3 linked regions of the Oryzias latipes genome follow. The protein of the gene in region 2 interacts with the protein of the main gene of each other region in a biochemical or structural test. Links are inferred from orthologs where the notes say so. Each region holds a gene or a part of one and is shown on either strand. Other genes may lie near its edges. The genes, in order: tyrosine-protein kinase ZAP-70, shc1 and inpp5d.

The links.
Region 1: of the proteins of shc1 (region 2) and tyrosine-protein kinase ZAP-70, one has a biochemical effect on the other in vitro, tested with the Homo sapiens proteins (2 studies listed by BioGRID, with this or other methods). The link is inferred for Oryzias latipes from reciprocal best matches to the Homo sapiens genes SHC1 and ZAP70.
Region 3: the proteins of shc1 (region 2) and inpp5d form a complex in vitro, tested with the Homo sapiens proteins (2 studies listed by BioGRID and IntAct, with this or other methods). The link is inferred for Oryzias latipes from reciprocal best matches to the Homo sapiens genes SHC1 and INPP5D.

Annotation. Positions count from the first base shown.
Region 1 is NC_019862.2:14,802,950-14,807,813, reverse strand, and holds part of tyrosine-protein kinase ZAP-70, read left to right. Parts: intron 1-580; coding exon 581-741; intron 742-851; coding exon 852-990; intron 991-1,072; coding exon 1,073-1,154; intron 1,155-1,239; coding exon 1,240-1,262; intron 1,263-1,339; coding exon 1,340-1,373; intron 1,374-1,669; coding exon 1,670-1,841; intron 1,842-1,940; coding exon 1,941-2,147; intron 2,148-2,976; coding exon 2,977-3,169; exon of another isoform or gene 3,170-3,180; intron 3,181-3,731; coding exon 3,732-3,872; intron 3,873-3,970; coding exon 3,971-4,083; intron 4,084-4,864. UniProt on the Homo sapiens protein: Tyrosine kinase that plays an essential role in regulation of the adaptive immune response. Regulates motility, adhesion and cytokine expression of mature T-cells, as well as thymocyte development.
Region 2 is NC_019874.2:18,329,454-18,334,317, forward strand, and holds part of shc1 (SHC-transforming protein 1), read right to left. Parts: 5' UTR 3,091-4,864; coding exon 2,497-3,090; intron 1,828-2,496; coding exon 1,757-1,827; intron 1,330-1,756; coding exon 1,269-1,329; intron 217-1,268; coding exon 97-216; intron 1-96. UniProt on the Homo sapiens protein: Signaling adapter that couples activated growth factor receptors to signaling pathways. Participates in a signaling cascade initiated by activated KIT and KITLG/SCF.
Region 3 is NC_019862.2:27,130,197-27,135,060, reverse strand, and holds part of inpp5d (phosphatidylinositol 3,4,5-trisphosphate 5-phosphatase 1), read right to left. Parts: intron 2,525-4,864; coding exon 2,435-2,524; intron 2,339-2,434; coding exon 2,228-2,338; intron 2,137-2,227; coding exon 2,057-2,136; intron 1,978-2,056; coding exon 1,890-1,977; intron 1,812-1,889; coding exon 1,665-1,811; intron 1,575-1,664; coding exon 1,517-1,574; intron 1,434-1,516; coding exon 1,242-1,433; intron 1,161-1,241; coding exon 727-1,160; intron 113-726; coding exon 81-112; 3' UTR 1-80. UniProt on the Homo sapiens protein: Phosphatidylinositol (PtdIns) phosphatase that specifically hydrolyzes the 5-phosphate of phosphatidylinositol-3,4,5-trisphosphate (PtdIns(3,4,5)P3) to produce PtdIns(3,4)P2, thereby negatively regulating the PI3K (phosphoinositide 3-kinase) pathways.

The sequences.
Region 1 (4,864 bases), on a different chromosome or scaffold from region 2:
CCTGCCATCTTAATCAATCAATTTAATATTCTAGCACTTTTTAAAATTTAAACCACCCTTTTTCTGTCAAGAAAGTCAAACAGAACTAACTCTACTGTTTCTGTTCATTCTAAAAGTATGTTTAAGCGTTGTGCCTGCACTAACACACTCAAAAATTAAGGCAATTTAAGGATACAAGATTTTTTTAAAGAAAATAGGAACAAAGAAAGGGTCAGTTTGGACAAATTGTACCTCCCCTGTAGCTTAAGACACTTAGCTTTGATTCACTTTAATGTGTTACACACTGTCTAGTTTCAACATCATCCCTCCTGCTGCGACCAATCTGAAGCAGACTGGCACCTTTTATGGGCTCTAGTTAAACAGTCAAACAAGTTCCAGTTGTTTGCAGGCTCAACTTGTTTTGCCAAACATCCCACCTTTTACCGCAATGCAGGCCCAATGTAGGTTTGCTGACTCTGAAAGCTTACCGATGGTTGCAAGTTGTGATGTGAACGTGCAGAAACAGAATATGGGAGGAAAAAATGTAAAAAGATTTCGTATGTAGCATGTTGGATCTCTGGAGCTTTGTGTATCCATGCAGGGGGAGGCCATGGAGCAGGCCATCATCAGTCAAGCTCCTCAGCTGGAAAAGCTGATCGCCACAACAGCTCACGAGAAGATGCCTTGGTTTCACGGTAAAATCAACCGCCACGAAGGAGAGAGGCGTCTTTACTCTGGAGCACAACCAGACGGGAAGTTTCTGTAAGTTGTGACGTGTGCACCTCTGCATTGACTTCAGTGCCTGTTTTTTTTTCCAAAAGCTAAGGAAATATTTGAGACTTTGCTGCGTTTTCTTTGGTTTTGTTTCTCAGAGTCAGAGAAAGAGACGAACCCGGGACCTTTGCTCTTTCTGTAGTGTACGGGAAAACAGTTTACCACTATCAGATTGTCCAAGACAAATCAGGGAAGTTGTCTGTACCTGAAGGGACCAAGTTTGACACACTCTGGCAGGTGGGAACCCTGTTTTTCTCTACGTTTCGGCATCACTCTGCAGCATTGAATTAAAAGAATGTGGTTCCCTTTTTTTCCACAGCTGGTTGAGTATCTGAAGATGAAACCTGATGGGCTGGTAATTGTCCTTGGAGAGGCGTGCACCAACGGCAGAGTTTCTGAACGTACTGAACCATTTTCCTTAAATGTCATGATTCTCTGACATTGTTGTGACTAAACTTAATTCTAATCTTTTTTGCAACATTTCAGAAATGCCCAATGTTCCTGCAATGGTAAGTGTTGGCCTTTATGCTTCAATCAGCATGCTTGACATGCTCCCAGCTTCATTTTCCCCCCCCTTTTCTTTCAGAGGAGATCAAATGGATACACACCGCCACCTAAAGGTCAGTTGCTGACAGTACAGCAGAATGCACCAATACAGAACAAAAGATCTTATCACTTTTATGATTATTTTTGTGTTTATGGATTTATCTATGTTAATAATAATTTTAAATGTTTATTTGAGAAGTTTAGTAATAAGTGAGAATAGTTGAAAAGTAACACTATTTATAAGGCTTTGTAAAATTATTGCTGTGGCAAAACTTCTAACTTGGAGAGCCCCAGAAGGTGGAATTAAGTGTTAAGTAGTGTGATCATGTAATTTGATTCTTTCCAAATAAAATAATGAGTAGTTGTGCAGCTACAGTTTCAGCTGATGCTCTGCCCATGGACTTTGCCGGATTCAACCCCTACCACGACCCAAATGACATCAAGAAGTTTAACATCAGTAGGGATCAGCTGCTGATGGACGAGGTCGAGCTCGGCTCTGGCAACTTTGGCTCCGTCAAGAAGGGAGTCTTGATAACAAAATCGTAAGATTTAAACGTCAAGAAAAGTGAAAAGCTGGTTTGAAGTTTTGCAACCTGACACTGATTTGCTCCTGCGCCTTTTTTTTTTTTGTCTGGTCACAGAGGTCATGTAGACGTGGCCGTCAAAGTGCTGAAGAGTGAAAATGAGAAGCTGGTGAAAGATGAGATGATGAGAGAGGCAGAGATCATGCACCAGCTGAGTAACCCCTTCATCGTCCGCATGCTGGGCCTGTGCCAAGGCGACAATCTGATGCTCGTCATGGAGATGGCCGCTGCTGGTCCTCTCAATAAGTTTCTCTCTACCAAGAAGTGAGTAAATGTTCAGGATGACATCTGATGGTGGAGTTTGCTGTTCAGAACAGTTCGTAAAAAAGGTATATTTCACACTGAATCTTTATCCTCCCCCATTTGGGTGGATCAACAAACTACTTAAAAAATAAAGACAAAACTACATTGAAATCCATCTATCCATTTGGGAAGAAGCCAGAGATCCCAGAGAAAACGCACACGTGCACAGGAACAACATGCAACCTCCACGCAGGATTTGACCCAAAGCCTTCTCACTGTGAGACGAGGGAGATAACCACTGTACCACAATGCAGCCCTACCTTAAAATGTATCAATGAATTCAAAGTTTTCTAACTTTTAAATTGTTTTTCAATTATTCCGTTGGTTTGCTTGAACACCTGAATCTGGATGCTCAATCCTAACCACAAACCAATCAAACCTGATGTTAAGTAACCTTTTTTTCTTGGATGGCAACAGCTTAATGTGGAACATACAAATAAATGCACCTGTGTGGGGCTTGTTGCATTGCTCATCTCTCCATCCAACATCTCAAATGTCATTTCTTTGTAGTCACTGTGTAATTTTGAGGAAAAAAAGCATTTCTGCATCGATGAGCACAGGGGATATTGGAACTTAAGCACATATGAAAATATGTAGATTGATTTTTAGCTCCTAAGAAGCACAATATAGTGTTACATTACTCATAATTTGCTTTTTGCTTTTTTTTTTTTGCATTGCTTTTAATACGAAAGTGACAAAAATAGACAAATGCAAACATTCAAAAAGTAGTTTTCACCTCACATACTTACTTTTTTCACTTGGCATGGATGTTTCTGTTTTGTCCCCACAGAGATGTTATAACCGTGGAGAACATTGTGAACTTACTGCACCAAGTGTCGATGGGGATGAAGTATCTGGAAGAGAAGAATTTTGTTCACAGAGATTTGGCTGCTCGAAACGTCCTGCTGGTTAACCAACAATTTGCCAAGATCAGTGACTTTGGGCTCTCCAAAGCCTTGGGAGCAGATGACAACTATTACAAAGTATTCATGATGTAGCTGCTTTTTTTTTATCATTATTGTGCTAAAACACGTAAACATACTGCTCAAAAATGTAAAAGTCTAAATTAATTTGTATTTCTAGATACAAAGCATGCAATACAGCGATAATGTTTATGTTAGTCAGTATTTTTTAGTCATTAAAAACTGCCATCAATTTTGTTTCTCTGTGTTTAAACGAAAAAAAAAACTGAGGTTAGCACCCATTTTTAACAATAACTAAATATATATTTGTTAGCTTTCCCCCACAGTTTTCAGTGTGTGCTTGTCCTATACGTTACTGTTATTATTAACCCAAATAAATACGACCATCAATAAGAAAAACGAGGAAATAAAAAGTTACTGAAGCACAAATAAATCCTCCATCACATCTAGGGCAGGAGCCCCTCCCCCTAAGACCCTGAACAGGGTAAAGCAGATATGTCTGGGTCTTAAATGTTAGTAAAATAAATTTAAACCAATTACAGGAACAACCTTTTTGGCTAAATACGTGTATTTTAGCCTCAGACTATCGGCAGTGACGCCTCCTCATATTGTGTGTTTACAGGCTCGAACTGCAGGCAAATGGCCACTGAAATGGTACGCTCCAGAGTGCATAAACTTCCACAAATTCTCCAGTAAAAGTGACGTGTGGAGTTTTGGCGTCACCATGTGGGAGGCCTTCACCTATGGAGGAAAACCCTACAAGGTGAGGGTGGTTCTGCAGAGCAGACCTTTAACTCTTACATCCCACCAGTGGACAGACACACTGATGCAGGAGATTTATCTCTTTTCCCCTCAACCCAGAAAATGAAAGGTCCAGAAGTGATCAGCTTCATTAAAAATGGAAACCGCATGGAGAAACCACCAGCCTGTCCAGACAGGATGTATGCAGTGATGATGGAGTGTTGGACGTACAGGTGAGAATCCCAATGTTACCTGTAAACTCATTTATCCTCTCACATGCCAAGAATGAGGCCAAGAGTTGATTAAAAAATACAATGTTTGACATAAAATAGTTTTCTATTGTGGTTTTAGCCGTAAAAAACTAAGACTGGAAACTGGAAGAACATGATGTAACGTAAGCAAACTTTGTGTCATATAACATGACCAAAAATAACCTTCTGACATTAGAAAATGAAATATACATTTGTTTTACAAAACTTTACTTTAAACAGAATACATTTTAACCCATCTAAAATTTTTATTCTATATGTTTAATTAAATGACATACATAAAAGCAAACAAATGTATTAAAAAATCTATAATAAGGTGTAGTTTAGCACATATAAAGCACGTAACAAAAATGCTTTGAAATAACACCCAATGTGAAAAGTGTATTTATTTTGATTATTAAAGTGCAGCTTTAAATACTATTCATTTTATAGTTCCAATTTATTTTATATCTGAACCTTTTACGTATTTTGTTTGATCAAGATTCCCTGCAACAAAAAGATTTTTTATGCTTTTATAACAATAAGAAAAACATGTGTAAAGTTTTCTTTTCTCAGTAAAGTGCTTTTCGTAGGGGATTGTCTTTATTTAGTTTTTCCCCCAATAGTATTTTCTTATATTTCCACACAACAAAAATCGAGAACAGATTGTAGAAATATGTTTAAGTTAAGTGTGAACTCGGTAACCAAAGGTTTCCTGCTGTTTCAAAACCCCCATGTTCAGTGAACGTCAAAGCTGCTAAAGTAG
Region 2 (4,864 bases):
ACGCAAGCACACTGATAAGCAGGAATATCTTGAGCTTGCTAATCAATAGTCAGCATAACACTTTGAGAGAGCCAGAAAATGTGATAGCAGTCTAACCTGTTTGCAGTCAGAAGCTAGCAGGTTTAGGCTGCTGGTTGAGATGGTGAGGCTGATTGGCATGCCTGCAAACTGCAAGTTACTCTTTCCCAGAATTGATGTGAGACACCGAGAGGAAGGCTGTGAAGAAGAGCAACACAAAGCAAGAAAGAACTTTACTAAATCACAAGCTGATTTTATTTGGTGAAACTAACATTAATAAGAGTGAATGAGAGCTGGATACATATCTGTGGAAATAAATGAGTAAATGCTTTTGAGTGTGGGAGTGAGACGGTTACTGCAACTCCAAAGAATGATCTGGTCTCTAAAGCCAATGACGCCTGTGAGGGAGGCCAGATCACATAATTTAGGCTTGACAATGAATATCACATGGGCCAGGCCAAAACAATTGTGCCAACTCATCAACTCCAATCCACCTCCTGTTCTCACAGCTTTCATCCAAATTTGCTCCAGAATATTTGGAAAATGCTGAGAAAAGCAGCTCATGCTTAGCCACAGTAACCTAAAAAAAAGGCAGAAGTGACTAGTTTTATCTATTGCAGTCATCATATTTTAGCATTTTTTTGTCTGGAATAGTAGACTGCCAGTAATTCACTGGTCAAACCCAGTTTTGCAAGCAGACCGAACAGCTTTATAGACTGTTTGGGTGGATGCTTTTAGTTTTACAGACACAGCGTTTGGAGGCTGCGTTTGCTAATCCATAGTGCTTCTTAAGCCGGACACTGGCTCCCCACAAGCCTCCCCTGTGGCACGGGAGAGGGAGAAAAGAGACCTATAGTGATTGGTAATTACCTGCAAGTGGCTCACTCACCACACAAGTGCACAATTATCTTAAATCAAGCTCTTTGTGCGCTTACGCAAAAACAAAAAGAATTCCAGGGAAGCCATTGGTACAGTTCCATGGAAAACAAGCATTGGTTTGGACAGTCAGCGTATTGTTTGCTTTAGGATTGGAAATCATTTTTAGTTTTGGGCTGGCTGCCCAAATGCAAAAATGTGTGTGTGTGTGTTTACGAGATAGCATGTGACTGACTGGCCAACTGACCATAAAATAGACAATCGAGGTAAATCGAGGTCTTAGCCAGAAAAAAAACCAATTTCCACTGCTGTCCACTTCTGCGTTATAAATAAATAATGGCCTGTAGGGTTGTGTTGATGTGTGTAGTATGAACCTTTCTTCGGCGGGCGCCTTTGGCTCCGGGTACTGCCTCACACACCACAGCGATAGCTTCCCTGAAACAAGAAAAACACAACTATTAGGGAATTATGCAATATTTCTCAACACCTTCCTGCTCACACATTTGTGTACATAAAACGAGAGCTGGCAGCTGGGGTTTAGAACTCCCAGTCTGTGCTGTTTTTACTCCTCTTTGCCACAGACACAAACATTTCTGCAGAAACCAAAAGGAAACCACTGGGACTGCAGCACTTTCTAATTTAAGTTCTAAAGAAAACAGAAGGGCTGTATAAAAAAAACACACCCATATATGACCAGTGAAAAAATAGCACAAAAAAAGTAGGTAAATGGAGAGGAAGCAGAATAGAGAACATGACTAATATAATAGTGAATTTACAGACCCAACACCTTGAGACACGTTATCCCCTCATGACCTGTGATAAATAAAGACGAAAGCCAGCAGAGGCCAGTGAAAAGTCTCACCTGGTGACTTGTGTTCTGGTGTTGAAGTCCAGCGCCCGCATTGACTGTAGCACCTCTACACAACCCATGTACTGCTCAGGAAACAGGAAAGCAACTCGTTCACATTAGACATTTCCGGCACGCAAGACAGAAAAAGTTATTTTCCTCTACACTCCAGATTGGAAAGAGGGACAGTGTCTGTCTGTACGTTCAAATCGGGCTCGGAAACACGCGTTCAAGCTGCCCCTTTCAATCCATTTAAATGTGCGTATATTCTCATTTAAGGCTTAAAAAAACTTTCATGTTCACGCATAGCTATTCAGTTTTTAAGTCCGTTTTCGGGCTCCACGTTCATTAAATGAAAGTTAAACCAATTGAACTTTGAGGACTCGGATTTGGTAGTGGTGTGTGGGTAACATCATTTTCAATTTTCAGAGGCCAACCGTTTGAAAATGTATCATGAAGGAAAAATTAATAATGACCCGTTTGTGCCGGGTCGGAATTATGTGATACCAAGTCTTTCACATGTGGGAATAGAGTTGTTAACCCAAAGATTTGCGAGATTTGCACTGCTGGGACCTTTTTGCACCAAGCTTCTTCTAACTGCAAGTACATGCGCGAGTATCGGGTTGCGACAGTCCAGTGTGAACTCCATATGCCAAAAGCACATTCAAGTATGCCTGTTTAGCGCATTCTTGAATGTGCATCACATTCCCAGTGTGTACATAGCATAAGACAGAGGTTGATGAGAGTGTACTTACTGTTACAGTGTAAGAAACACCAGTGGTGCTGACCACACTGTCAGAGTGGAGCCAGCCACGGGTAGGCTTGTTGACGAAGGAGCCATGCCGTGTCCATTCGTCTCCTCCCAGCTGCCCACCTTCCACCCGTGCCCTCCTGGACGCCCCTCCAAGCCGGTTCATGTCCTGCAGAGGAGGTCGGGGAGGGGGAGAGGGGGCGGTTAGGAGGGGAGCAGGTTGGTGAAGAGGAGGGGAGGAGCTAGAGTTGCTCCTATCGTCCCCAGAGGACTCCACAGCCAGCTGAGATGGCTGTGACCTGCTTGAGGCCTTGAGTCCTGGAAGAAGAGTAGCAGTGACACCCAGACGAAGGGAACTCATCCTTGGGAAGAAGGAGCAGAGGGTGGTGGGACTGTTTTCTGCCGGACGGGGAGAGGTGGGGGGCAAAATAGGAGTGAGAGACGAGGAGGAAAGAGAAGAAGGTATACCAGGGGAGGGGGTCAAAGGGGTGGCAGGACTGGAAGGAGGGAACGACGATGGATTGGAGTTGGTGTCATCGTTTGAACTCAGCGACTCACTCCGAAAGTGGGTGTATTTAGTTTTGGGCACAAGCTCCATATTGATCCTGCAGAGAGAGTTTTTGATGCCAAGGCTGTAGTGGATCAAAGTGTCTGTCAAACTAAAGTTTTTCTCTGAAAAGACAAACCCATTTGCACGTCTTGCTCATGATTTGAGCTGCATCCATGTTGCTGCATCTGATTGTCCGTCCTACAGTCATTGTGAGGCAGCCAAACCAAACTGCTTCAACTACAACTCTGTCCACAGTGAATGCAGAATGAGAAGAGGTCCAGAGAAGTGGGATGTCCCAGATAATCAGACAAAAAGAAAACGTCTCATTCAAGACTTGTACAGCTCATGTTGGTTCAATCCTTTTGTGATTTGTTTGATTTCCCAGGACTAATGAAGACGAACTCTCAGCTCCACAGTTCTTTCTCGGTGTTCTCCCATGATGTAAAACAATCAGTGAGTATTTCCTTCCAACATAACCATCCCTGAGTGAGAGCCAGTTTTAAAGCTGTCATTAGAGAGTCCCCACAAGTTCCTGTCACTCGGAATGCCTGTTTTTCCGGAACCAAAGCTGTGCACTTGAATGCGATATGACTACATGCACGAGGTGCTGGAAACCTTGCCAGTCCGCAATGATGACATGCACATGTGTAATGCAGCTCCGCTTGGCAGTCGTATCCTGCTTGACAGAGGCCCATAAAAAATGCTTAAAAATCCCATTAGGAGCCAAAACAGGGATTAGAAGAAGGGCTGTGCAGACATCATCCAAAACTTTAACTGGTCAATAATACAGCAGGTACCTGCCGGAGAAGAGAGGAGGGTTCCTGCTCTCAACTAGCGTCAGAGTTTTGTGTCAGCAGTAGCAACAGCTTCTTCAGCAGCTACTTTTCATGAACATGACACCCTCAAATGTGTCATCGGGTCCTGTTTTACTCTCTCTCCCTCTTCCTCCAAATGATTTCATGTCCTCTCTGAATGGCTTTGGCCCTCTCCCTTCCTGCGTCTCCTTCTTCGTCTTCTCTCCTCTTCCAGATGACCTCTGGTGAAGCCTCTTTTCCTTTTTCGGTGCTCTTTCCCCCCTTCTCTCCGTCTCCTTTCTTGTCCTGGAAGTCCTCTCTCCTCCTCCACACAATGTACTCTGCCAGCCTCTGTCTCTCCAGCGCCTCCGCCCTCTCTTGCGCCACCACTTCCTCTCTTCTTTTCCAAATGATCTCTCGCGCCCCCTCTCCCCCTCCCTCGATGGCTCGCCCGTTCTCCAGGCTGTCCCGTTTAACAGAACCTCACTCAAAAAATACAAGTGAGTCCCGTCTGAATGCCTTTTGAACTTAAGGTTTTGGGATGGCTAGAGGCTAGACATGGTCATTACAGACACCCATAGAAAAACAAAGAAAAACCAAACAAAAGTTTGTTTTTAAGACTGGACTCGCAGAGCGGAGCCGGTTCCTGACAGAGGTACCTGATATGGCTAAAAACAAAAGAGCCTGCTTTTGTTTAAGTGTGTTCCCTAAAAATGACCACCAAGTTTCACTTTTTTTTTTTTGTTGTTCTTTTTTTTCTGTTTATTCCTTGAGCACCATTGAATCTTGGTAGGCCTCCTGGGAGATGTTGTCTGACTGGTACAGTGACAGACACTGCAGCACCAAGGTGGTGATGTAACACGGGAGAATGTGGGTCATTGGCTGATGAACACTACTGGTGGGCTCGTTGTGATGGTAATGAAACCTGATTTGTCAGGTTTGATCTCATAATCCAGCTTCAGCAAAGTGAGAGCTCATCAGTGCTGAAGATGAACTCACTCATCTGGGTTCGAAAGAAGCTCAAATAG
Region 3 (4,864 bases), on a different chromosome or scaffold from region 2:
GAAGCTCTGCCTTTGTGAGTTTGCAGAAATGCAGAGCGGGAAGCTGGTTGGGGCACAACGACCGTCACTGCAGCCTCCTCTCAGTTCCCGGGACGACCCATTTTAGGGGCATCTGGATGCAATATGGGATAAAGAATATTTCATTAATGACCGTGTTGTGTCAAGCTACGTACACGGCAGGCAACTGACTGCAGGTTTTTGAACACGCTTTTACCAAACGGTGTTCGCATTAGACTGTTGCTACTCAATACTAGTGCCTGTACTCAGTTGGTAAAGGTTGGTGTGAAACATCATAGCGGTGCAAATCTTGTGAATCTCGCTCCAGGCTTTTTCTGTTACAGCTCTATTCCGATACATGAAATGTGGGCACAAACTGCAATTATTAATTTCCCCTCCATGGTCAATTTCCAAATGGTTGTCACTTCCATGTTCTGAGAAGGACACTACCTATACAACACTACCAAATCTGAGACCCTGATTGGTCAAAGTTCAACTGGTTTAGCTTTCTGTGCAAGTTATCTTGAAGCATGTTTTTTTAAATAGAGGCCACAAAGTCCCATAAAAACTTGCATAGTGACACGTGAATGCGAGAGTTTTGAACACGGAAGCCCAAAAACGTGTATTCGCGTTTACATAAACGTTTGCTTGGAAGTTGCCGCTTGAGAGGAGATTTTCGAGCCCGGTGTGAGCCTAGCCTTAAGGTTCAAATAGAAGCCATTTCCTTACTGTCTTTGTGAGGCTGGGCGGGTCTCGCCGGTGCTCTGTTTTTGTTGTGGATGTCCGAGAAGTCCCTGTAGTCTCTGGATTTTGGGGCCTGGGGCTCTGGCCGAGACTTTGCCGGCAGGGGAGGGCGGCTGGGTGCTGTCCCGCCCTCCGAACGCGAGGGCACCACTGGTTTCTTCTGCAGTGTCGGGAGCAGGTTGATGGGGGTCGGGTGCTGGGGTTTGTTCTCAGAGCAGGTGTAGGAGCGGTTTCGAGGGGTGGGCAGAGGCGGGCGCTCAAGCTCAAGATCTGCTGCTTTGGAGGACGACTGGGGGGGATCTCCAGGGGTGAGGTGGTCGGTCTGCGAATGGCCCTGCTCCTTTCCCCGGCCGTGCGTTTTTACCATTGAACCGTAGAGTGGGTTGTCAAACATCTCTGACACTGGTTCATCCGCCCCCCTAGAGAAGACAGCAGCCAGTAGGATTTGGTTTAGTGCCCGTTTGAGTTTCGGTTTTCAGAGCTTTTCATCAGATACTCACACTGAGGACACCTTAGCTGTGGGGCTCAAATCAAAACCAGCCTTCTTGGACTCTTTGCCCATTTGTCCAGCAGCGTCTGGCCCTCGGTTGAGCATGTTGTAACTCCAACCCTTTTCTTTTACGTTCCCAACTTTGAAAGACAGTCCCATGTAGCTGGGGTTTGAAATATCATGTGTCTGTGCCATGGCAGACCTGTTCTCAAAAGAAGGAAACACACGTCCCTGCTAGAAATGAAATGTCCCATTTTATATGACGACAAAGGAAAAATATCTCACTTGTCTCCTCCTTTGCCTTTGAAAGGGACAGCATCATCCCGCTCAACTTTGATAAAATCTGAAAGCAGAAGGAAATCAATGGGATTGTTGTCAGACTCCTTGAAAAAGACCGTCATTGATTCATCCAGGAGGCGATCTCCAGCCTCACCGTATAACTTCTCGGTGGGTTTTCCCTCTGAGGTGTGTAACTGGATGCCACCTGTCAGAGTTCCCGTCTTTTCTCCGTGGTGAGTCAGTGTGATCTGAAACTCTCGGTAGCAGAACTGTGCAGCCCGCAGCGCCACACAACCCTCTCCTTCATGAATGAAAACATCCACAGGATTGTGAACGACGTTTCACTCAGCACAAACCAAAGTTTCCAACCACTTCTTACCGTACGACTCATCGGAGTCTACTGATTTTACGCAGATGAGGATGTGCTGGTCCAAGAGGTACTCGGGGTCAGAGATGATGGGAGTGAGCTTGGATGGAAAGGGCAAACAAAATCACAGCTGATGCTGAAACAGAAATGCTTCTCTGCTCTGAAAAACTCAGATTTACCTCAACTTGGTTGCCAAATGTGACTTTTATGGAGCCGTCAGACTGTTCCGTGTTCTCCCCTTCTTTAGTCTTCGTACTCTCTGCCAGAGAAATCAAAGGAGACCATCAAGGTCATCTTCAGTCGAGCAAAAGAGAATACTCCAGAGAATAGGTCAAAGGTCGTAATCTCACTCTCCAAGCAGCTGGAATGAAACTCAATGAAGAACTTGGTCTTTGCTTTAGTCAACAAAACAGCAACGCAGTTCATGATTTGTATTCCTCCTTGACTTTCAGTGTTCGGATCTGAGGAACAGAAAACAGAAAAAAATCAGATCGAGGCTTTGAAGTGTCTGAAGTTTTTTTTTTTTTTTTTTTTTTGTAGTTGAATCCTGAACTTGCCTTGTTTGGAGACAAACTGTGAAGCGACTCCGACTTCAAACGAGGCAAAAACAGGTGAGTGGTCACTTGTCATGATGTCATTAGTGCAACCTGCAGGTGAGATAGATGTTTAGCGGAGCATTTCACCAAATATGGACAAAAAACAAGCCTCTTTAAAAGAGAAGCTCTGCTTTGGAGAACAGGGGAAGCCTTGGCCACACATTGAGCTTTTCCTCTGGAACATAGAATTAAATATGTATGGTCTAAGTCTGCTAAAATTTACAGAGATAGTTGAGCTCTTGTGCATTTAGTACCTCAAAATCAAAACCGGTTTAAGCTGCTTTGACTTCTATGCTGCACACAGATGAATGCAGCCTCTTGTTGGGTTCATACTAAATACTTTGGTGTCTCCTGGTGTGTTTGTTCTTTGTTTTATTAAAATGACTTTCACTGTATGATACAAAAGGTTAATGCGTTTCATAAAGCCCCATCATTTGCCTCTGTATAAAAGGTTCTATACAAATAACTCCAACTCTGGTCCCTATTTCCCTATTGCTAAAATGAGACTAAAAGGAAAGTACAGAAGTGAAAGGTCTGTGGAAAATTCTTTGGCTGGGAAAGTGGAAGTGTTAAAATGGTAAATGGCTTACACTTGTATAGCCCCTTTTGACCTTTCTCGAAGGTCAAAAGCGCTTTGCAGTCACAGTAACATTCACCCATTCACACACGATGCCGAACACTGGCGCCAACCTTCCAACAGAGGCAAGGTGGAATTGAGTGTCTTCCCCGAGGACACTTATGACAAATGCGGGCATGGTGTGAATCGTACCTGCAATCTTTGTCAGTGCAATCGTCAGAGGTCGACCGCCCTACCGCTGTACCGACGTGTGGTCAGTGACATGGTTATAGTACTAGTCTAGTTTTTTATTTCCCCCCATTACTTTGTTTTCACCTGGTTGTGGTTGCGTTTGGTCAAGTTCTGACTTTTGTCTCTTGAAAAGTTTTCAGTCATGTATGAGTTTATTTTTTTATGAATGCTGAGTAGCATTTTTCTAACCCTTGTGAAGGTTTTTGGCAGGTAAAATCTTCTGCACATCTCAGTCCAAACCCTTTCCTGCAGCTTGATTCATCTTTACACAGAAGCTTGATTGTTATCAGAGACTTGTCCACGCGAATGTCCTGTGACAACCCCACCAAAATGTTCAACTTTCAATGAAAAAAAAAAGCAGTCAATCATCAAGACAGAGTACAGGATGAAAATGAAGCCTTAGCTCCTGTACTAACAATAGAGGTGAGCAACATCCACATTCTGGCAAAGGAAAAATGCAAATTGTATTTCTGTGTACCAACCTAAAAACTGACACTCATTTGCCTGAAACGTTCAGCATCAAAGGCACAAACCAAGTAGCTTTGCTCACGGATTTATTGTTTTAATCTTTTTGTCTCACCAAATTCTAACACCTGCCTTTTTAAGGGGGCAGGCAGACCAACATCACCTCACACTGAAGATTAAATGATGATTAATTAGAACGGGTCAAATTTAAACAGATTCATGACAGTGCCAGCAGATACATCACATCTATTCTGAATAAATTCTCAGCATGCTACGTTTGACTCTGCGAGTCCTCTGCAACTCTGGACTCTGTGTAACCTGGTGCTACCATGAGCCTGCAAACACAGAGTACTTCATAATCTACAGGTCTGTAAATGAATGCAAATGCATTTAAATTCTGCTGATCTATGGTCTGATATGATTCAAAGAGAAAGACAGTGTTAGACTTTCAGAAGAACCTAACTAAACCTGTTCATCCATTCTGAACCTGCTAAATCTCTTCAGAGGTCATGGGGCTGCTGGATCCATCCCAGCTGCAGGGGAGCAAAGGCAGGGCACAATTTTGAGACACCAATTGACCCATGAAGCACGTTTGTGGACCATGGGGGCAACCCAGAGTACATTGATAGAACGGGTGCATGTGCAGAGTTATTAATATGTTAACTCTGCACATGCACATCCAGCAGCCCCATGACCTCTGAAGAGATTTAGCAGGTTCAGAATGGATGAACGGGTTTAGTTAGATTCTTCTGAAGGTCTAACACTGTCTTTCTCTTTGAATCATATCAGACCATAGATCAGCAGAATTTAAATGCATTTGCATTCATTTACAGAACTGTAAATGATGAAGTACTCTGTGTTTGCAGGCTCATGGTAGCACCAGGTTACACAGAGTCCAGAGTTGCAGAGGACTCGCAGAGTCAAACGTACTTTGATGCTGAACGTTTCAGGCAAATGAGTGTCAGTTTTTAGGTTGGTACACAGAAATACAATTTGCATTTTTCCTTTGCCAGAATATGGATGTTGCTCACCTCTATTGTTAGTACAGGAGCTATGGCTTCATTTTCATCCTGTACTTTGTCTTGATGATTGAATGCAGTGTTAACATGTTAACTCTG